4 linked regions of the Drosophila melanogaster genome follow. The protein of the gene in region 2 interacts with the protein of the main gene of each other region in a pairwise test. Each region holds a gene or a part of one and is shown on either strand. Other genes may lie near its edges.

Evidence for each region.
Region 1: the proteins of CG1142 (region 2) and Hecw interact in a two-hybrid assay, tested with the Drosophila melanogaster proteins (one large-scale study listed by BioGRID).
Region 3: the proteins of CG1142 (region 2) and CG8079 interact in a two-hybrid assay, tested with the Drosophila melanogaster proteins (one large-scale study listed by BioGRID).
Region 4: the proteins of CG1142 (region 2) and EndoU interact in a two-hybrid assay, tested with the Drosophila melanogaster proteins (one large-scale study listed by BioGRID).

What each region holds. Positions count from the first base shown.
Region 1 is NC_004354.4:9,607,431-9,611,998, reverse strand, and holds the start of Hecw (hecw ubiquitin protein ligase), read right to left. Parts: upstream 3,054-4,568; 5' UTR 2,702-3,053; coding exon 2,308-2,701; intron 2,249-2,307; coding exon 1-2,248. Other genes in the region: LysRS (Lysyl-tRNA synthetase), read left to right, coding at 3,447-3,577, 3,707-4,370, 4,432-4,568.
Region 2 is NT_033777.3:7,471,922-7,475,302, forward strand, and holds CG1142 (uncharacterized protein), read right to left. Parts: upstream 1,861-3,381; 5' UTR 1,817-1,860; coding exon 1,340-1,816; intron 1,302-1,339; exon of another isoform or gene 986-1,301; intron 927-985; coding exon 558-926; 3' UTR 537-557; downstream 1-536.
Region 3 is NT_033778.4:15,216,770-15,224,350, reverse strand, and holds CG8079 (uncharacterized protein), read right to left. Parts: upstream 5,971-7,581; 5' UTR 5,888-5,970; coding exon 5,696-5,887; intron 5,639-5,695; coding exon 5,515-5,638; exon of another isoform or gene 5,452-5,514; coding exon of another isoform or gene 4,087-5,451; exon of another isoform or gene 4,022-4,086; intron 2,923-4,021; coding exon 2,786-2,922; intron 2,624-2,785; coding exon 2,528-2,623; intron 2,453-2,527; coding exon of another isoform or gene 2,308-2,452; coding exon 1,926-2,307; intron 1,855-1,925; coding exon 1,369-1,854; intron 1,310-1,368; coding exon 1,192-1,309; intron 1,131-1,191; coding exon 1,025-1,130; intron 968-1,024; coding exon 803-967; 3' UTR 536-802; downstream 1-535. Other genes in the region: Fs (follistatin), read left to right, coding at 1-29, 96-209; Hex-C (hexokinase C), read left to right, coding at 4,087-5,451; mRpL41 (mitochondrial ribosomal protein L41), read left to right, coding at 6,787-7,287; CG11808 (uncharacterized protein), read right to left, coding at 7,329-7,409, 7,473-7,581.
Region 4 is NT_033777.3:15,906,853-15,910,895, reverse strand, and holds EndoU (endoribonuclease U-specific), read right to left. Parts: upstream 2,499-4,043; 5' UTR 2,304-2,498; coding exon 2,177-2,303; intron 2,118-2,176; coding exon 1,958-2,117; intron 1,812-1,957; coding exon 1,606-1,811; intron 1,549-1,605; coding exon 1,316-1,548; intron 1,253-1,315; coding exon 1,010-1,252; 3' UTR 529-1,009; downstream 1-528. Other genes in the region: CG45105 (uncharacterized protein), read left to right, coding at 1-409. UniProt on the Drosophila melanogaster protein: Endoribonuclease that cleaves single-stranded RNAs at uridylates and releases products that have 2'-3'-cyclic phosphate termini. Preferentially cleaves single stranded RNA at poly-U sites with CU, UC and AU sites cleaved less efficiently.

The sequences.
Region 1 (4,568 bases), on a different chromosome or scaffold from region 2:
GAGACCGATGATGCTGGACTGGCGTTAATATGCCCACTGGTGGCGGACAGGCAGTTGCCATCCACCAGATCCGGATAGTAGTAGCCCACACTGGACTGTTGCTGCGAATGCTGCTGGCGATGGCGTACCACACGAGGACACTCCACCGGCAGACGAGGATCCATGAATGAGGTGCGACGATGCTGGTGATCAATAAAGAACTGCTTGCCCGATTGATCCAGCTTGGTCTCCCAGCACGAGGGCAGTTCCCTGCTCATCTGGGCGAATGTGTTAACCAGCGCCACCAGATCCTTGTTGTACTGATACCGCTGGAAGCACGGCGGATCGCGTCGGATGCGCATGACCATGTGCTTTAGTGCGGCATTGCGATTGTAGATGGCCAGTGCAGCTTCGTTGGTGTGCAGTAGGGAGTAGAAATCCGGGCGGCAGAGCATCAGGATGGCTGGATGTATAGCCGTGGCGGGCGGAGGAGCAGCTGGAGCTGTGGAATTGGCATTACTATTCGCCGAGGTTGGCAGGTTGTAAAGCTGCGCAGCTCTACTCTCATTGGTAATGGTGCGTCGGATGCTTTGATACCGCCTATCCAGCTGCTGGCGATGATGTTGCTCTCTGCCTGCTGGTCCTCCACTTGGCGCCGCTCCTGGTCGTTGCCATGAGGTTGTTCGCGTTGTGTGATCGATGTAGAAGATGCGTCCGTGGCTGTCCATACGCGCCTCCCAAGCAGGCGGCAATGGTGGCTCTCCAGCGGCTCCAGCTCCACTAGACCCGGATACCGTACCCGTTCCGGGTTCCATGAGAGCGGCTCCAGCTGCTGCTGCCGCCGCCGCCGCTGCTGCGGCTGCACTGCGTTCTGGAATGGAGGGCAGGCGGGTGCTGCTTATGTGCACAACTTCGTCTGACTGCTCCTGACCCTGCTCCTGGCCACCATCTTGCAGATATATGTAATCCAATTGACTAGAGACGGCTGGCGGATCCGAGGGGATCGCTCCTCCGCTGGCGAGGCTGGAATTGGCAGTGACGGCTTGGAGGCGGGCATGCCGACGGGCATGGTGAGTAGGCGTTGGTGGACATACCAATGGCGAGCCGGTTGCGCCTCCCGTAGCACCAGCTCCTGCTCCACCGCCTACACGTTTGAGCAGCCGCTGCTGCGGTCGCTGACCATGGAATGTTGGAGTTCCGGGCGGCACCGCATCCTGCAGAGCACCACCCACTCCTCTGCCTCTGGTGGGCGAGTGCTGCTCTGGACTCAGGCTGATATCCAATGGAGAGGCACTGCGCGTGGAACAACCGGAAGGAGGACTTCGCGGACGTTTTGGTGAGAGCAGAAGGCGTGGGGAGGCTTGCTCCTCCGATGAACTGGCCTTGCCATTGGAAAGGGCACGGGTGAGCGGACGGTGCTGGCGCAGATACGGAAATTGCAGACTATTCGGCGACGAAGATGACGATCCAACTGCCGAGGAACTTGGAAAGGTGGGGAACTCATAGCTCTGGTGGACCGGCACCTTTTGTGTGCTAATTGTGTTGATGTAGCTATCGGGTCCAATCTTTTTCTTCAGCAGCGGCTTAAAGCGCACAGGCGGCGTGGCCAGGGGTGAATTATTCGAACTCCCACTGCCCTGTGCCATCTCCTCGGCCAGTCGCTCGTCCGTGTCCAGGATGTCGAACTGAAAGACATCGCCCTGAAGCTTCAGATCCCGACCAACGGCACGCGGCGGCCAAGATCGTTCCAGCGGACGATGCTGTGGTGGCGAGGGCTGGCGAAGATGCTGGTGATGCTGCTGCTGCTGACGGCGCTGCACATGGGCACTGGCCTGGAGGGCAGCAGCGGCTCCCAGAAGACTCTCCACGGCAGCCGCCTCCTCGTCCTCCTCCTCATCCACCTCCTCGTCCACTTCAGCCATGCTCAGAGTATCCACCATTTCAGCGGGCACTGTTTCGAAGCACTCACGTGCCACCCACAGATTAAAACCGTCGCCATTAGCATTGGACAGTGTTGTGGTTGGCGCACCCGTCTTGGTCTTCTTCTTGGCTCCGCTCAGGGGCGTGGAGCCACCGCTTTGCGGCGACAGGGTCCAGGACTTGCGGCGGGCGCCACCGCCCACACTGCTGCCGCCGTCGCTGCCAATGCTGCCATTGTAGGAGTTGGTCGGCGAGAGCGTGGCATTATTGGCCGGCGTCTCGCAAGATTTGGTGGAAAGCAGCGTCTGGTGGTGGCGCGGTTCCCTGGTCTCCTTTGAGCCTGTAAGAGCTTTAAGAGAACCAAGTGGATGAGTGGATGAACTCGCTCGTCAGTCTCAAGTTACTTACAGGCTTCGCTGGGCTGCGGCAGTGCGCAGGCCCCCAGCTGCTGCTGCTGCTCCTCCACCTCTGCCACCTCCTGATTTCTCGATGCCAAGGGCGGTTCATGTTCCTCCACTTCGCTGACACTCACATGGACATCGTTGGTCAGGGTAAGGGCACTCTGGAAGGCCTGTTCCAGCTCGTCACTTTCGTTGCCGTTGCGCGCCTCGTAGAAGGCCTCCTCTTCTTTGGGATCATCATCATCGTCCTCCTCTTCCTCCTCCTCCTCCTCGTCATCTCCTTCTGCCTGCTCCTCCTGCTGCAGTCTGACTGCAATGGGATCCACTGGACTCCTGTCCGCCAGGCAGGCGGAAGATGCTGCCAGTGGCTGTAGGGGTACCGGTGCAGCTGGTGGCTCCATTGGCTCGTTTGCCTCCTGGCCTCAAGATGTGCTCTTCCTCTTTCCCAGCACCCTTGCTCTTCCTCTTCCTGGTCCACAACCACCACTGCCACCCCGCCCCCGCGACCAACCCAGGGTTAACAGTTACAGTTACAGCTGCAGTTGCTCTACTTTGGCGTTCTGATGTTTGCTGCCTTCCGACCGGAGCATTTCGCGTCCTCCAGCCATTGAGTCCAGTTCTGGGCCGTGCTGTGCTGTGCTCACTGCCCGCAAGGCCGTGGCTTTAGTTGATCAATTGTTAATTTAAGGATATTGCAAAAGCTAAATAAAATATATATTTCGGGTCTAGTGCAATGTGACCAGATGTCAATGGCGTAAAAATGCCCTCGCGCCAGACTGGCCATCTGGTGCGGCAAAGCCAGTTGCATCGATTTATGCCCATCTGGCAGCGCTGGTCGTGTACTTTTTTTTTTTTACTTTTGTGGCGCTTTCGCATTCGCATTTCTTTTGGGTTTCCATCGCTTCTGAGACCCCGGGATTAAACAGCGAACAACGTAACCGCATCAGCATGGCCGCTGCAAGTGGAGAACTGTCCAAGAAGTAAGTGCCATAGGCTTCAAAGCGTATCCATTTGACCGCAAGCATTAAATCCGGTCAACGTAGCTGCCCCACTTGTAGGTTAGGGCGAAGCGGCAACGTTCCAGTTCGCATTATTTATGTTGCATGTGTGCAGTTCTGCTGATGAAATACGCTGCTTAAAATAACCATGTTCGCCCGCTGCGCCCTTAGAACCGTGCAGGGGTCATGGCCCCGATGCAGATACACCGGAATTCAGCCACTTGCCGCCGGTTTCCACGTGAGCGCTCCGCAAATGGAGCCAAGCAAGCAGACCAAACTGTGGGTTACTAATACGCACCGTTGGCCAGGCTGGATATATATATATATATATCCATGCGTGGTTATAACAGCCTTGTGGCAACATCTCCATTGTCTGCTAATACCCTAACTGTTTCTCTTCGTCCACAGTGAGCTAAAGCGTCGCCTGAAGGCCGAGCAAAAGGCCAAGGAGAAGGCTGAGAAGGCGGCCGCTGCGCCGGCGGAAAATACTGCTGGCAAGAAGAAGAGCAGTGCCGCCGAGGAGGAGGAGATCTCGCCGAATGAATACTTTAAGCTGCGCTCCGCCGCCGTTCAGGAGCTGAAACGTTCACCCGCAACGGATCCCTATCCACACAAGTTCCATGTGAGTAGCTCGCTGGAAGACTTCATTGCCAAGTACGAGAACAGCCTCAAGGAGGGCGAGACCCTGGAGAATGTCAAACTGAGCGTGGCTGGGCGCGTGCATGCCATACGCGAGTCGGGCGCCAAGCTCATTTTCTACGATCTGCGCGGCGAGGGCGTCAAGGTGCAGGTGATGGCCAGCGCTAAGTCCTACAAGTCGGAGGCGGATTTCGAAATCGATACGTCCAAATTGCGACGTGGTGATATCATCGGCGTTGTCGGACATCCCGGCAAAACCAAGAAGGGTGAACTGTCCGTTATGCCCAGCGAGATCAAGCTGCTATCGCCCTGTCTACACATGCTGCCCCATCTGCATTTCGGGTTGAAGGACAAGGAGACGCGCTACCGCCAGCGCTATCTTGATCTCATTCTCAACAACAATGTGCGAGAGAAATTCCAGATCCGTGCCAAGGTATGAATTGAACTAAGGAGTTTAAGCTGAATATAACAAAAACTACTCCCATTGCCCGCAGATCATCTCGTACGTGCGTCAGTTCCTGGATCGTCTGGGTTTCCTGGAGATCGAGACGCCCATGATGAACATGATCGCCGGTGGAGCCACTGCCAAGCCCTTCGTGACGCATCACAATGACCTCAAGATGGATCTGTT
Region 2 (3,381 bases):
TCAACATTTACTTCTTGACCAGCTTTATATGAAATTTATCGATCTGTTCTTCTACTTTGAAATCATAAATTTAAGTTAAACGAAATTAAAACACAGTCATTAAAAAATATATATAAAAATTGTTATAAAAAATCTTTCTGTTCCCGCCCGGGTTCGAACCGGGGACCTTGTGCGTGTGAAGCACACGTGATAACCGCTACACTACGGAAACTAGATGGAAGACATGATTCAAAGATTGGTTATAAAATTAAAAAGAAACTTTCCTCGTTCACTTATAACAATTTAGAATAAAGTTATCAATTTAGTTTGTCAAAAATATTGTTAATACACACAATATAAAGAATCTTACTGAGGAATATGATTTTTAAATATTTGGCCAAAGGAAGAGAACATAAAATAAACTCCTCTATTTCGCAGAAAGGTACTAACCATACGGATCTTGCGATACTCCACGATCTCTGGAGTGACTACTTTCTGACTTGACTATTTACCCCATCATTATTTAAGTTCAAATAAAATATAGAGACGAGTAAGTTAGGTTTTAAAATATTTTATATTTATTTATTTTTCTTAAGTTTTTTCATTTTCTTCAAGTTTTTCCGATAGGCGTATTTGTCTGTGCGCTTAATAACCTCGTTGAACTTCCTCTTGTTGAACTTCTGGAAGCTCTCGTCTTCTAACAACTCATTTACCAGCGACTGCTTCTTCTTGGACTTCTTTTCTTGGTAGTGATCCAAATGCGAAGGTAGCACAGTACCGATTTGGAAAAATTTGGGCAGACTCTTAAGGTCGTTCTTCTTGTAGAATTGCTTAGGGTTCAGAACCGATCGCATCTGAACTATTTTCAGTTCGTTTCGCATCTCGTCGGTGATCTCTGTGGCGGGCAGATTAAACCATCCCTTGCCCTTGGTCTTTGAGCGTTCAGCCTGAAAAAAGGAAGGCGATTAAAAATAAAAGCAAGGTAGGGTCTGAAATTTCCAATATGTTGCGCTCAGATTACTAAAGACGTCGTCACCATGACAAACAGCTTAGACCTAACTGGCTCCTGGGTCGACAAAAGCGCGTGTTTCATTTCCATTTGGGTGTTCTGTAAACCAGAGACTAAACTATCTGTCTAGGACTCAATGACAGATAATAGTCTTGATCCCTGGCTGTTGGTGTCCCGCTGGCCTTACGGCCACTGCAAATTCTGGAGTGCAGCAGCAAAGATTACAACGGATGAAACTAGATTTGCTAGAGTCTGAGCCTTAGGTCTTGTCGCCAATGCGCAAACTCCGATGTCGAATATTTCATCATGGGCAAAAGGGCTGTTTGTACGAACAAATCGCTTCACACTCACTCTGTTGATGATGGGTTGCTGCCTCTTTCCCACGGTGGGCAGTGCATGCGCCTGTTCTAGTCCTGGATTCAAGGCCTGTTTCGTCCTCTTCATATTACTTTCCAGGTTTTCCTGCCGCAGGTCCAGATGCGGAGCATCGTGGTTCAGTTCTGTTACCCGCTTCCGGGGCACTACTTTCGGTTTGCTGGAGTTCTCCACTGCACTCTCGACCTTTTCGCAGAGGTCCTCCAGCTGCTTGGCAACCTTGGATACCGGCTTCTTTCGGTCAGGCAGGGAATTCACGACATCGAGCACTTCCTTGGAGTTCAACTTTAGGCCAAAGAGCTCCACTGCGCCCTCATTTTGTTCCTCGTCCTCCTCGCTGTGCGCGTCACTTTCTGTCAGGAGCAGCTCTTTGTTGTACACAATCTTCTTTTGCTGCTGCTCGCCATTGAATTCCTGGCGTCCTGTTGTGTCTACCAGAAAAATAGAATCCATTTTGTGCGGCAACCACGCTTGTTTATAACATACAAACAGTGTGACCGTGTAGTAGTAGCACACACACTCACAGGTCGACTGTCAAAAATATACTAAATGCACTGCATGTAATTTGGAAAATACTAGCTCTTGGCAAGGGCATTCCTGAACATTTATTACTTAAATTACTTTTAGTTTAAAAAAATTTGTGTTCTAATTTAATTTTTCTGACAAGTACATTTGATCTAAAGGTTTAAATTCAAAAATTCACAACCGACTTACAACCTAATGGAATACCCCCAATTTTTATTTTTTCTTTGTTAAGGTATAACAATTAGTTGCTTAAGCAATTTTGAACGTACAATTAAGTAAACCTCCACATAAAACATCAGTTCCGAGTGCGAGGACCGATAACTTCGTGCTTGGTGGACCTAATAGCTGAATACTGCCTAAATGTGCCAATGCTTCTAAATTGCTTGGTAATAGTCGTCATATTGCAATGCTCATGGAAAAGAGATTATTGAGTATAAGTAGAAATACATATTTAGTTTTTGGAAGGAAACTTTATTCATGAAATCGATATGCATTAAAAATCTCAAAACTTAAAAACTAGTAGAAATACTCTTCGAAATCCGTAATGCTACACATGCCCGTATATTAGTATCAAGATACCGTTTGCCTGTTACGAGCAAAAATGCATTTGGGGTTCTATTTTTGAGAGTTCTAGTTTCACTGTAAAAAAAGAAATTGTTACTTTCAAATAATAAGTTGTATAAATATGCATTTTAATAACAAAATAAATAATAAATAAATATTGGAACGTAGTTCGCTGCAGCAAAAGAATGGGCAAATTGCTCGGCAATGCCGCGTACATGGAAGTGTTCTGAACAGCAAATTTGTTACGAAAATCCGAAGCTAAGCTACTAAGTTACTTAACCAACAAATTTTGAAAGTGGCTGACTCGGGCAACTGTCGCCGGCTTCAGCACCGGACCGCCGCCCGTCCCCGCCCAATACGGCTTCCGGTCGAGACCAGAATCCGCGGGGTGGTGGGGGCGACGGATCGGGGGTGCATGACCGTGCGTCGACCGCCGGATAACCCGTCGTCATCCAGTGGAAGGCAGCGGAAAGCCGATCCGAACGAGGAGCCACGGCAACGCCAGGCAGAATTACTGGGAAACACAAAGGTGTGACGGAGGGTCGGCTCTGAACAGATCTGATAAGCAGATGCAGTTACCTGAATATCGATCAATGTACAGAACAATCACAGAATACACTTCCGAAGTAACGGGAAGCAGATATCGTATTTATACGAGTATTTGACCAAATAAGCACTTGGGAATTACAAGCTGGCAGTCGGGCAAACGTGCTGTATGGCAAACCAAATCGGGGTGGGTTTTGCCATTGCTTATGCATACCCGTGTATGAACGTTGCTTTAAAAGCCTGTGAAATCAAAAGTATAGTTTCTATGTAAGAAATTTAAATTGTTTCATAATGACTGAGAAATGCAGAATGGTAAAAAAATAACAATAGGAAGTATATATTCCTGAATTGCCCTCGGCTGGGCTCGAGCAAACGAAAGATTC
Region 3 (7,581 bases), on a different chromosome or scaffold from region 2:
ACAAGTGTCCGCGGAAGCAGCAGCGACCGGTGTGTACAGATTTTTTGTAAATAAAACATTTCCTTTCCTATTATGAATTAATTTTGTAATATTAGGTACACAAAATATGCGGCTACAACAACCAGACATACAACTCGTGGTGTGAGATGCACAAACACTCCTGCGAATCCCGCTACTTCATCGGCGTCAAGTCCCAGGGTAGCTGCTAGGAGATCGGATGCATCTCTCGACCACATCGGCCTAGGGCTTTATGTAGCGTGTTCTTCCGTAGCTCCAACATCCAAAGATTCTCGTTGTGCGTTTTCGTGTTGTAATCGGTGGATGGGCCTGCGGCTGTTGCCCAAGCCTACCGAGCTTACACTACATATTATCCGATACACTTAACATACAGGCAAAGTATTATCAACCTTACAACATTACGTATTGCAGCAAATCTTATCCAGCATGTATCGCAAGAGAAACCACATATCTTAAGAGGCTTTTGTATTTAACATTAACATTAGGCTACACGATAATTAATTTAAACGATCGGTTTGTATGCCCATTAGGCTCGCAATTAGTTTAGACCAACGTGTGCGAAGTCGTATTTATTTAACATTACCTTCCCCTATTCTTTTTGTTTATAAGCGAAGCTAAATTAATTAATTGACTGATAGCTTAACCTTATAGCAAGATTTTTGAATTAATATATACATACATAGAATCTATGTGTATATACATACATATATATTTACATACACTTATAAATATGTTTGAGTAATTGTTAATTAAATGTGTTTCCAACATCATTCAAAATGTCTTTCTAATCACTATCATCCGATTGTCCAAACATATCACTGGCGCGCTGATATCGCGCCTGAGTGATCTTCAAGTTGGCCAGCTTCCGTTTGTCAATGGTTCTGGAGCTGGACAGCACTGGGTCACTGTTTCCCAGACCGCTAGTGCCCTCATTGGCTACCACATTGATCTGCGAACGGGTTGGTATTAGAAGTAGTGACTAGCTTTATAAGTCTAAAACACTTACCGGCTCCAAAAGTCCAGCACTGGCATTTGTTTTGCCCAGTTTTTCGCCCTTTTGCCAGCCCAATTTACTCAGCATTTTAAAACCCTTATTAGAGCTACCGATTTCACTAAAAACGAATAACACATTGGTCAACCAATTCAAGTTAAGATGTGTAAGCTGATACTCACGTGTTCACACAAGCCACCTCAGTCTTTTCTTTATCTGTACTGCTGCCCACCTGGACTCTCCTTGTTGCGGCACGATCATTGTAGTTGGACTGCCCATTGCCGCTAGTATCAACGAATTCTAAAAGTGAATTAAGGATTGTCAAAGTAAAGTGAGAGTATAAGTTGTCTTGTATTTACTTTCGTTTTCTAGTCCATATTTGCGCTGCAGTTTTTTTAACTGCTCCTTGTGAGATAATACGGATGCGGTGGATGAGGCAACAGCGGCCACTACCGGCGGAGAATTCTCTATCAAAAGGCCCGGCTCGCACAAACCGCAGGTACTGTTACCCTCGTGGACATGACACAGTAGTCTTGTTTGGCCCAGAGTGATAACACTGCCGTGAACGAGATCCATGGCGTCGCTGGACATTGGGGATCCATTGAGAATGGTACCGTTTCGGGAGCCCAGATCAAGACATTGGTAGATTCCCAACTTGTTCTCATACTTAAACTTTAAGTGGCACTTGCTGACGTTCACGTCCGGAATGATAACATCGTGAGCGCCCTCCCGTCCAAGAGATCCACCTTTGTATGTGATTAGATGCAGGCTTCCCACTTTCAGCGACTCTACGTTAGTCTCCTGGACAATGATGCGGAGGGAGGGTGGATACTTTTTAGCAATGTCTAAGCAAAGAAGAAAGCGTTAGTTAAACAAACAGGGAAGAGCGCGATAAAAACGCGGATAACTTAAACACCTTGAAAGCGTCCGGCAGCCTTGAAAACTGGAACACTGCTGTCTTCCGTGTTGCTGCTGCTATCCTCGTTGCTAGAGTCGGAACTGGAGTCGCTGCTTTGCGACAGCTCGCCCTCCTCGGCATCATTAGACCGCTCATCATCAGAATGCCTGTGACGCTTCTTGGACTTGTGACGGCGCTCCTTCTTGGATCTCTTCTTGCTGTGCTTTTTACTCTTCTTTTTCTTGGCTTTGCGCTTGGATTTTTCAGCTTGATCTTTGGCCTTTTGCTTCTCGGCCTTAATCTTCTTCAGCGTTTCGTGGTCCGTAATGACGCCTCCCAGCTCATCGAACTGCACCTCCAAATCCTCGTCCTCCGATTCCGGTTTGGCCGCATCGTTCGCCTGCAACCAAGTTAAGAAAAGAAATCCGCGTTTTTATCGCACATTCTGGACCTTGACTCTTACCTAATGCATTGCTACGCATTCGGTCTATGCGGAGTTTGTGAAACCCCGCTAAAAGACTACTATAGGCGCAGTCGCTCAAAGGCTGCGCAGCGAGGAGGAGAAGAACAGTGGTTAATGTGGTCGTATGGCATTGAAATCCGCAACTACACCCACTCACCTGTACCTGGGCCTGAGAGTGGAACTCGTACGAGTCTTTGGCGTGATCATAGCTGTAGTAGCAGCCGTTGTTACCATCGTAGTACAGCCCGTACTCCTGCGAGGAAGAGAAAAGCAGGTGTAGATTAACAACAATCCGAGCCATTGATGTAGGTTTGCCAGCGCGATAACCCCTGAAAGTCATCGCGGTGCAGTCACTGCATCGCGGAATAGAACGGGACGTCATAAAGATTGCGTCCGCTGTTTATAGCTTATTTACCGCGTTATAGTAGTATCCCGTCTTGGGATCGTAGTACATGCCAGAGGTGTGCTCGTAAACGAAGTTGTTCAGGTTTTCGGCGTGCTTGGCTGCCTGCCTCATTTCGTCCACAAAACTGAAGGCGTCCGTCGCCGATACTGCAAATATAAATTATTTTCCAAACATGACTTGTAATGTTTTGATGGTTATTGATAAGGTTTTATAAATATTTAAGACAATATAGAAATAAAAACAGAAACCTGTGGTGAACGACACGAAAATGAGCAATGTTATCAGCAGTTTTGAAAAACATTTCCTTATTTCAACTTTAAAAATAGTCGGAAATGGGTTGTAGTTATCTTTACATTCATAAATTAATGTTTATAGTTATATGTATTTAGACGAACTATAAAGTAGCTATTTAAGTGTTAGTATAAGAATTCTAATTATTTTTCTAATCCCCTGAGTTTTGCGTAATCATATTAATTCTATTAAGAGTAGTGTCAAGGGCTGCTCGGATTTTTGTCAGGGGCAGTGGCGTTAGCCCATGCGACACTTCAGTGCTTATCTCGGGCATTACCGGCATGGAATGTTTGACGTACTCGACCTAGGACCCCGCCAATACTCCTCAATAGATAGACAAGTGGGTGGGTTGCGCTTGTAAGATGCGGTCCTTGAAACGGCCTTATCTCATCGTAACTAAGAAGGCGTGTTGCAGCTAATATCGCCCTGTGACAATTTATGGCTTTTAGAAAGTAAAAAAGTGAAATACGGCCTTGGCCATTTTTTCCGGAAATATGGCACTCTACGAAAAGTTATACAACAATTTAGTACAACGGAGGACACCTTATTTGTAGATACTGAAACACTTTTTAATAGTAATCTCTTAATGGATTCTTGTGCCATGCGATCGGTGTCCATCCGGGATTTATTCGCAGAGTTAATTGTGACATATTTCCTCCTTTCCAATAGTCGGCTAAAGACGATCTACAATTAATTTGTAGGGTGCCGAATCTGAAGCTATTGCCACCAATTGACAAGCGGCAAACGAGACAACGAGCGATTAGCATGTCGCGCAGTTGTAGTTTCAGATTCGGAATCCGCAAATCAGCTACTTAGGTGTGTTTTCGTTTTTAATTTGCTACGCAGCGCCCATATTGCAGCGGCAGCAGTTGTTTCCAAGGCGCACTGCATCTCAACGCCTGGCTCTTATCAGGCACCCAGGGCAACTCCAAATCGCCGTGGGCTCGCCAGGCGCCTGGTTAGTCGTTACTCATCGTTCGAGGCGGTTACAACTAAGACAGATAGATTAGCCAAGCAAAATGCTGGACGCGGAGGTGCGAGAACTTATGCAACCCTTTGTGTTGAGTGATTACCAGGTGCAGGAAGTGTACAGTCGCTTTTGCCTGGAAGTGGCCCGTGGACTTAAGCGGTCCACGCATCCACAGGCCAACGTCAAGTGTTTTCCCACGTACGTGCAGGATCTGCCCACGGGCGACGAGATGGGCAAGTACCTGGCCCTGGATCTCGGCGGTACCAACTTCCGAGTACTGCTCGTCTCGCTGAAAGGTCACCACGACGCCACGGTGGATTCTCAGATCTATGCCGTGCCAAAGGACCTGATGGTGGGGCCCGGTGTGGACCTATTCGATCACATTGCGGGCTGCCTGGCCAAATTTGTGGAGAAACACGACATGAAGACCGCATATCTGCCACTGGGCTTCACTTTTTCCTTCCCTTGCGTGCAACTAGGCCTTAAGGAGGGCATCCTGGTACGCTGGACTAAGGGATTCGATTGTGCTGGGGTTGAGGGCGAGGATGTGGGCCGCATGCTGCACGAGGCCATTCAGCGGCGCGGAGATGCCGACATTGCCGTGGTGGCTATACTCAACGATACCACTGGCACCTTGATGTCCTGCGCCCATCGTAATGCAGATTGCCGGGTGGGTGTCATTGTGGGAACTGGCTGCAATGCCTGCTACGTTGAAGATGTTGAGAATGTGGACCTATTGCGCGCAGACTTTAAAAAAACGAAGCGGAGTGTGATTGTAAATGCTGAGTGGGGCGCCTTTGGTGAGGGTGGTCAGTTGGACTTTGTGCGCACCGAATACGATCGCGAAGTTGACGAAAAGTCTCTAAACCGATCGGAGCAGCTGTTCGAAAAGATGACGGCGGGCATGTACTTGGGCAACCTGGTGCGCCTTGTGCTACTTCGTGCCCTCGAGCGCAAGCTGATCTTTAAACAGAGCAGTCGACGTCCAGAATTCGCCAGCGTGCTGCAGAGAAACGAAGAGGTTTTCGAGACGCGCTACATTTCGGAAATCGAGGACGACTCCTTCCCAGAGTTTGCCAGCACAAGGAAGATTGTGAAAAATCTGTTTGGTCTAGAGAAGGCCTCCGTGGAGGACTGCCAGACTCTGAGATACATCTGCGAGTGCGTAGCTAAGCGAGCGGCTACATTAGTAGCCATCGGAGTCAGTGGGCTGGTGAACAGGACTTCCAACCGCCGCGTGATAGTCGGCATGGATGGCTCCGTCTACCGATACCATCCAAAGTTCGATGCCTACATGAGGCAAACACTCCAAAAGCTGGTGAAAGCAGACAAGGAGTGGGACATCATGCTCTCGGAGGACGGATCCGGACGTGGAGCTGCGCTGGTGGCCGCGGTGGCCAGTAAAACAAAGTAGGAACTCACTACTATTGTAGCAATAATAGAAGGACTCAGTGTAATAAAACAAATTTTAACTCACAATCGTTGGGCTGGTCTTTTTTGTTAGTATCCTCATCGTTTTCCATGGAATACTGGCATTCTTGTAATTCCGATTCAGTTGCTTGGCTGGCTTTGTCACACGAAACCTTTTCTTCCCGGCTTACCTTTAAAATAGATCAAAAATTAAGACCATTTTAGCTCAACCTTTAATTGGGACTCACGTAGTGTAGGAGTTTTTGTTTATAGGACGCCAGTTTGGTGTCGTATTTGCGGATAATCCCGTGCAGCTTTTCGACGTACTGCAGTAGTTGTTGCTGCTCGCAGGTTTCCAGGTCCTGTATGCTCTTCAATTCGATGGAATCGTACTTGGCGACAGTGTCCGCCAAATCCTCCTCTTCAGCCGGTAACGACATTGTTTAACAACCGTCGAATCTAAATCAACTTTTTATAGGGATCACAAGCCGATTTGGGGAGTTTCAGCTAGAGATGGAGAAACATCGATGCTAGCATGGATGTCATCAATGTTTTCAAAAAATCGCATTCATCGATGTTTTCGAGGAATCATCGATGTTTTTCCATCTCTACATCGCATCTGAGGAGAAAAGCGTATAAATTGTAAGTACAAATTAATTTTCCATATCTTCTAATACAATTATTAATACCATATTGTGGCGTCGTGATAGACATGGAAAATATCTGAGAAGAAAGTTTTTAACACCCGAAAAAGGCTTGCACATATGAATGCATGTCATATGCACGTCTAAATGTATATACATGTATGTATGTAAACGTGCATTTGTCTTATAGGAGCAATTACTGGACCAGCGGAGGATGAAAAGGTGGACACCAAATACTGACGTTTTATTTAAGCAACATTAAAATAAAAAGCAATTATTTTTATTTAAAGCATCGATGTTTAAAACGTCGATGTTATTCGCCAAAAACATCGACATCCGCCAACATCTAGTTTCATTTCAACTAACAGTCGTTTTAAGCACTGGTGGCTGCAAAGTTAATCGATTTATTAAGAGATGGTTGCTTTTACACATAAAAAAAATATGCCTAGTTTTTGAAAAAAAAAACAACTTAGTTCTTATCAAGATAAAATAAATATGGCAACGGCCTAAAAGAAAAAAAACTTTTTCGGTATTTTTAAAAAAACAAGTAGTTTAATAGCAAATTGGCTTCCAATACATTTCCAACTGGGATTAATTGTCTATCGAAAAAAGTGTCATCTCTACCCAACCAAACAGCTGTTCCCTCATCTACATTTGTTATTTAACCATTTTGGTCGCCGAAAAACGAAATAAGAATGAATAATTGTATTAAAGTAGTGCCCATTGCCCTAAGGTGCCAGCAGAGGACCATCAGTACTTCATCCGTGCTGGAGGGCAAGCGGAACTTCCGTAAATTTAACGCATACAACAAGCGCGGTACGCGCGTGGTAAAGGAAGCCCAGAAAACACTGGCCAATCCGCCGGTAGCCATTCACAAGCGAGGTGTACGAGACACGGGCATACTTGTCGACGGGCAGTATGTGGAGATTCCCGAGAAAATTCCGGACATCATAGTTCCCGATTTGACCGGTTGTAAGCTAAAGCCATACGTGTCCTATAAGGCGCCGGACGTCGTCCAGTCGGAGTTCACCAGCTTGGATCTCTTCAACGCCGTCTACTCGCAGAAGATTATCGAAGATTTCAAGGCGGGAAAACTGCAGAAGGACGGCAGCGCCAAGGAGCCCTCGGTCAATGAGCAACTGACTCCGGAGGAGGCCTTGCAACGCGCTCGAAAGACGGGCAGCGATATATTCTAGACATAGGTTTATTGTTTCTTAAATACAGAGTCTAAACTCGACTACTCCTGCATGTACTTTTGGCGGTAATTGTACAGCTTGCGCAGCCACTTCTCGGCCTTCATATCCGGGTCGCCCAGGAACTGTCGGAATTGAAAATCAGATACTATTAGCATGTATATTCGAGCACCAGGTAACCCACTCACGTTCGGATGGAATATTACATCTTCGTTTCGGACTGCAGTGGCTGGCTTGCTGGCGACTGTGACCGTTTCATTGTTCAGATCTATGATCACCTTATCGGATGTCTCCTTT
Region 4 (4,043 bases), 8.4 Mb from region 2:
TCCGGAACGGGCCGACCACAATCGCGCCCGGGCAGTGGAGCTGTGGGGTCAGCAGCTGCGGCTGGAGCAGTCGCCGGCGGAAAATCCGCTGTGCCACAACAGCCTGCCGCGTCAGCCGCCGGCAAAAAGTAGCTGGAGTCCCGACTGCGAGGATCGCCTGACGCTGGAGTGCTCCATCAGTAGTCCCAGCCTGATGCGCTCGTCCAACGATGAAACCTGCTCGGAATTGGCCGATCTCAGCGAGACCTTTGTGGTCCTGGCTGAAAATGGTTCGGGGGAGGAGAGCTTGTCCCCGGCCCAGACCACCATCATCACAGCCAGAAGGTCGAGTGCACCGGCCGTGGTCCAGCAGGCGGACATTGCCAACGAGACCGTCACCATCGAGCGCCATCTAGATGCCCATGAATAGGGGTCAGCACCGAGTTCTCCAGCAACAGTTTCTTCAATCAACGTACTTCTACTCATGTGTTCCATAATTAAACGAAGAAGGGAAATTCATGTTTTATAACTAATAAATCCATTTTAAATAAGTTGATTTTGTTATTTTATTTTCAACTAGCTAGTTCAAGAGATTCAAAGGTATAAAAATTATAGTGGGTAGAATCCATTTCGAGGGTGAGCTTAATGACTGCATAATACTAAAACGTCACACTCACTTTTCCTCCTTTCGCTCCTTCAAAATAAACGCTTTTGCCTCTTGCATAATTTCCGCCAGTAATAACTATTAATGTTAGAACTAATAAACAACTTCGTGATGTAAGTGCTCTGCGCCACGCAATCCTGTCAAAACAACCAAAATGATAGGCAGATGGGCATTGTTCATGTCCTGACTGACATCCTCGTCAATTGCCAGCGACAACTGGGCCAAGCACTCATAAAGTGGCAAAATAAAATGAACTTGACTTTGAGCTTGGAGGTTAGCCTTTTGCTGATTTCGATGAGGTAACAGTGCGACCGAATCGAATGTCAGTAATTTGACTGAGGTTGCGAGATGGGTGGTTGGAGTGATCTAGGAGCTGTCCGGATAGACGGTTCCTATCAGGCGCATACCGTTCCATTTCCATTCGTGGGAGACAATCGTGGCGGAGGCATGACCCAACTGGATGTGGCAGGGTTCCTCCTTCGCCGTGGCCAGGAAGCAGGCGGTGTACAGGGCCATGTCCAGTTCGGGCGAGATGCCCACAAAGAAGCCGTTGACTGGCTTATTGATGTTGTGAAACGTGTAGCGAACGCTGAGAACCATTTGGTTGTGCTGAGGAAATATAGCAATCCCCTTTTGTAAGGATCATCTGTTACATTTGTCTTTAAGCCTTACCTTTCCCATTTCCTTGTGGTTCAGCCAGCCCTTGTAGTCCACATTGCCACGTTGCTCCTGATCTGCAAAGTACAGCCAGTTATGCAAGCCCAGGACCTTCTGGTCCCGAATCTCCGCCATGAAGACGTGCTCGAAACTGGAACTGCCCACAATGCCACGACCTCTGGAGTAGGGAGTGAACCACAGCTCCTGCAGCAGACGCAGCTGATCGTCATATTCTACGCTCACAATATCTAGATGGTATTGGATAGGTATACTAGTCTGATTTATTTCATTTAAAGGTTACTCACCCTTGTGTACCAAAAAACGCATGGTCAGCTTCATCACACGCGTACCCATCACGGCCCTAAGGAAATCATATTGCTCCTGGACGTGCTCCGGCGTTGGATGCTCCTGCACAGCCACGTCCAACTCGTAGTTGTCAAAGAGCCTCATTAGCAGAGCGGTGGTGGAGTTAGCATCCCTGGCCAGCAGATCCTGGTGCAATTCAAAGAGGCTGGAAGATTTCAAGAAATATGAAATAATGTTTATTAGACAGCTTTAGTATTTAATGAATTAATAATTATTTTAATTAAATTGCCTTATCATCAAATTAAATATTTTAATGATAAAATTCATTAGGCGGCGCAACTAGGTACTTACTTTCTAGGGGCGCGATCGTCATGAGCACCTGAAGTGGTCTTCCCCTGGAGATTCACCTTGTAGAGGTATGGACTGACCTCGGTCTCCTCCGCGTACAGATTCTTCGAGAGGGTCAAGACGTCATCCGGCGTTTTGGGCAGCGGCTTGCTGTGGAAGTACTCTAAGAGAAAAAACCGTTGTCCGTTCGCTTACGGAAGAGAGCTTAAAGAGACAACTCACCGTAGAAGTGCCAGCTCAAAATGCCAATGGTGATCAGCAAGCCTACGATCACAAATCTCTTTAGCTTCTGGCATTTGGCGCTGTCGATGTTGCTAGTGCTGTTTGTTTGCTGCTGCACTGCGTCCATTGTGATATAATTATCCAATTAAGATTAGTCAAACATTTGTTTTTGCGCCTCTGTTTACTTTCCCGATGCTCGCCGTTTATCTTCAGCCAAAACTCTCGCGTTGATCGAGTTTTATCTGCTCTTTCCGACCAACTACCTTTATGGCTGAAACGATACTGAGCGGGTTTGCCCCACTGCGGATCTGGCCGCTCATATGCTTGCTGAACACACAAGTAGTTCCCCCGAAAAATTGGATAACACGCTCTCCCTCTCCAATTATTTTCGTTTTCGGCGCTCTCTGGGGGATCATTGTTGTGGTTTGTTTTCACCTCGCGAGCAGCCTTTTGTTTACTCAGGAGCGGATTCGTTGGGCCCCCATGCCAAATTTCAAGTTTGAGGACATAAATGACAATGTGCAGCATATGGTATAATTTATGCGGCCAGTCAAAGTAGGAAAACAATTAGTTTCCTAAAGAAATAAAGCTAAGCCAAACGAATATAAATAAAATGTAACTGAAAAACTAATATTCTGTTTTACCTTGGATAATCATTTATATTTTAATTCATTTTATAAAAAGGTTTACAATTGAATCAGTCTTTAAACGTGCATGAATGAAACCAATTATTCTTTTCCACAATACTTCTAGTATCTATAGATATTTAAAATTCAATTCATATTTTTGTGGGAACATATGGCACGTGGCAAGCCTACTAATTTTTGGTACTTAAGGAATTTCATCCAAAGTCTCTTTTAATTACTAACATCGTGTCTTGAATCTCTCATCTGGAAGTACTAAACAAATAATTTAATCACGCACTTACTAATTTGTTTGTTTCAGCGAATATAGCGTCATTTGTATTAAAGTCTCGACTGTAATATAATTACTTCCAAATTGGGCTTAAACCATACTGTGTTTAACAAAAAAAACTTCAACAGGAAACTGTGACGTGATTTGAAAAAAAAATTGACAATAAATTGTGAACAAAATATTGTATAATTGAACACCTATAATTGCAGTGCGAAATTTTCTTAGGGCTTGATTTTTTTTTAATATCAACAAGATTTTACTCTTATATTGTCTGGACTGCAGTTCCTACAATTAGTTGAAAATAGTCTTTAAAACGTAAATACAATTAAATACATTGTCGCCAAAGATGGAATGACGAAAACCACATTAACTTTCACAATCTAATACCAAGATATCCATCATGCTATATTTAAATTAACCTTGATCAATATATCAATATATCAATATATTCAAGGCACGGGAAAACAAATAGCTCGTCACGAAAGGTGTAATTTGTTTTCAGTTTGCTTTTGGATTGGATCCACCTGGTAGAAGAATTCAGTGTACTAAAGGAGAGCTTTACAAATATTGTAATTTGATACATTATGTTTTGGATTAGCATTTGATTTATTCTTCACAGTGAAGCGAATTGTTTGCTTTGTTACAATCATCTAATATTTTCGAATACAATGTTTGCCTTTTTTAAGCTTAGGTATAGGTAAATTTGATTATCAAGGTTAGTTCTTTATACTTAAAGTAATTATGTCTTGTAGTCTAGCCGAAAACTGGATTTTGCTGCTTCTTTTAATCTCCTGACTCCTAAAACTCCGAAGCTTCAAAATTCGGAGCGCGCGTTTTATTGATTAGCTCAGTTCTAATGTTGTGACAAGCAGTCTCAGACAATATTTACCAAATCTTACGAAATGAATTCACGAAATGAATTTCAAGAAATATGAAATAATGTTTATTAGAC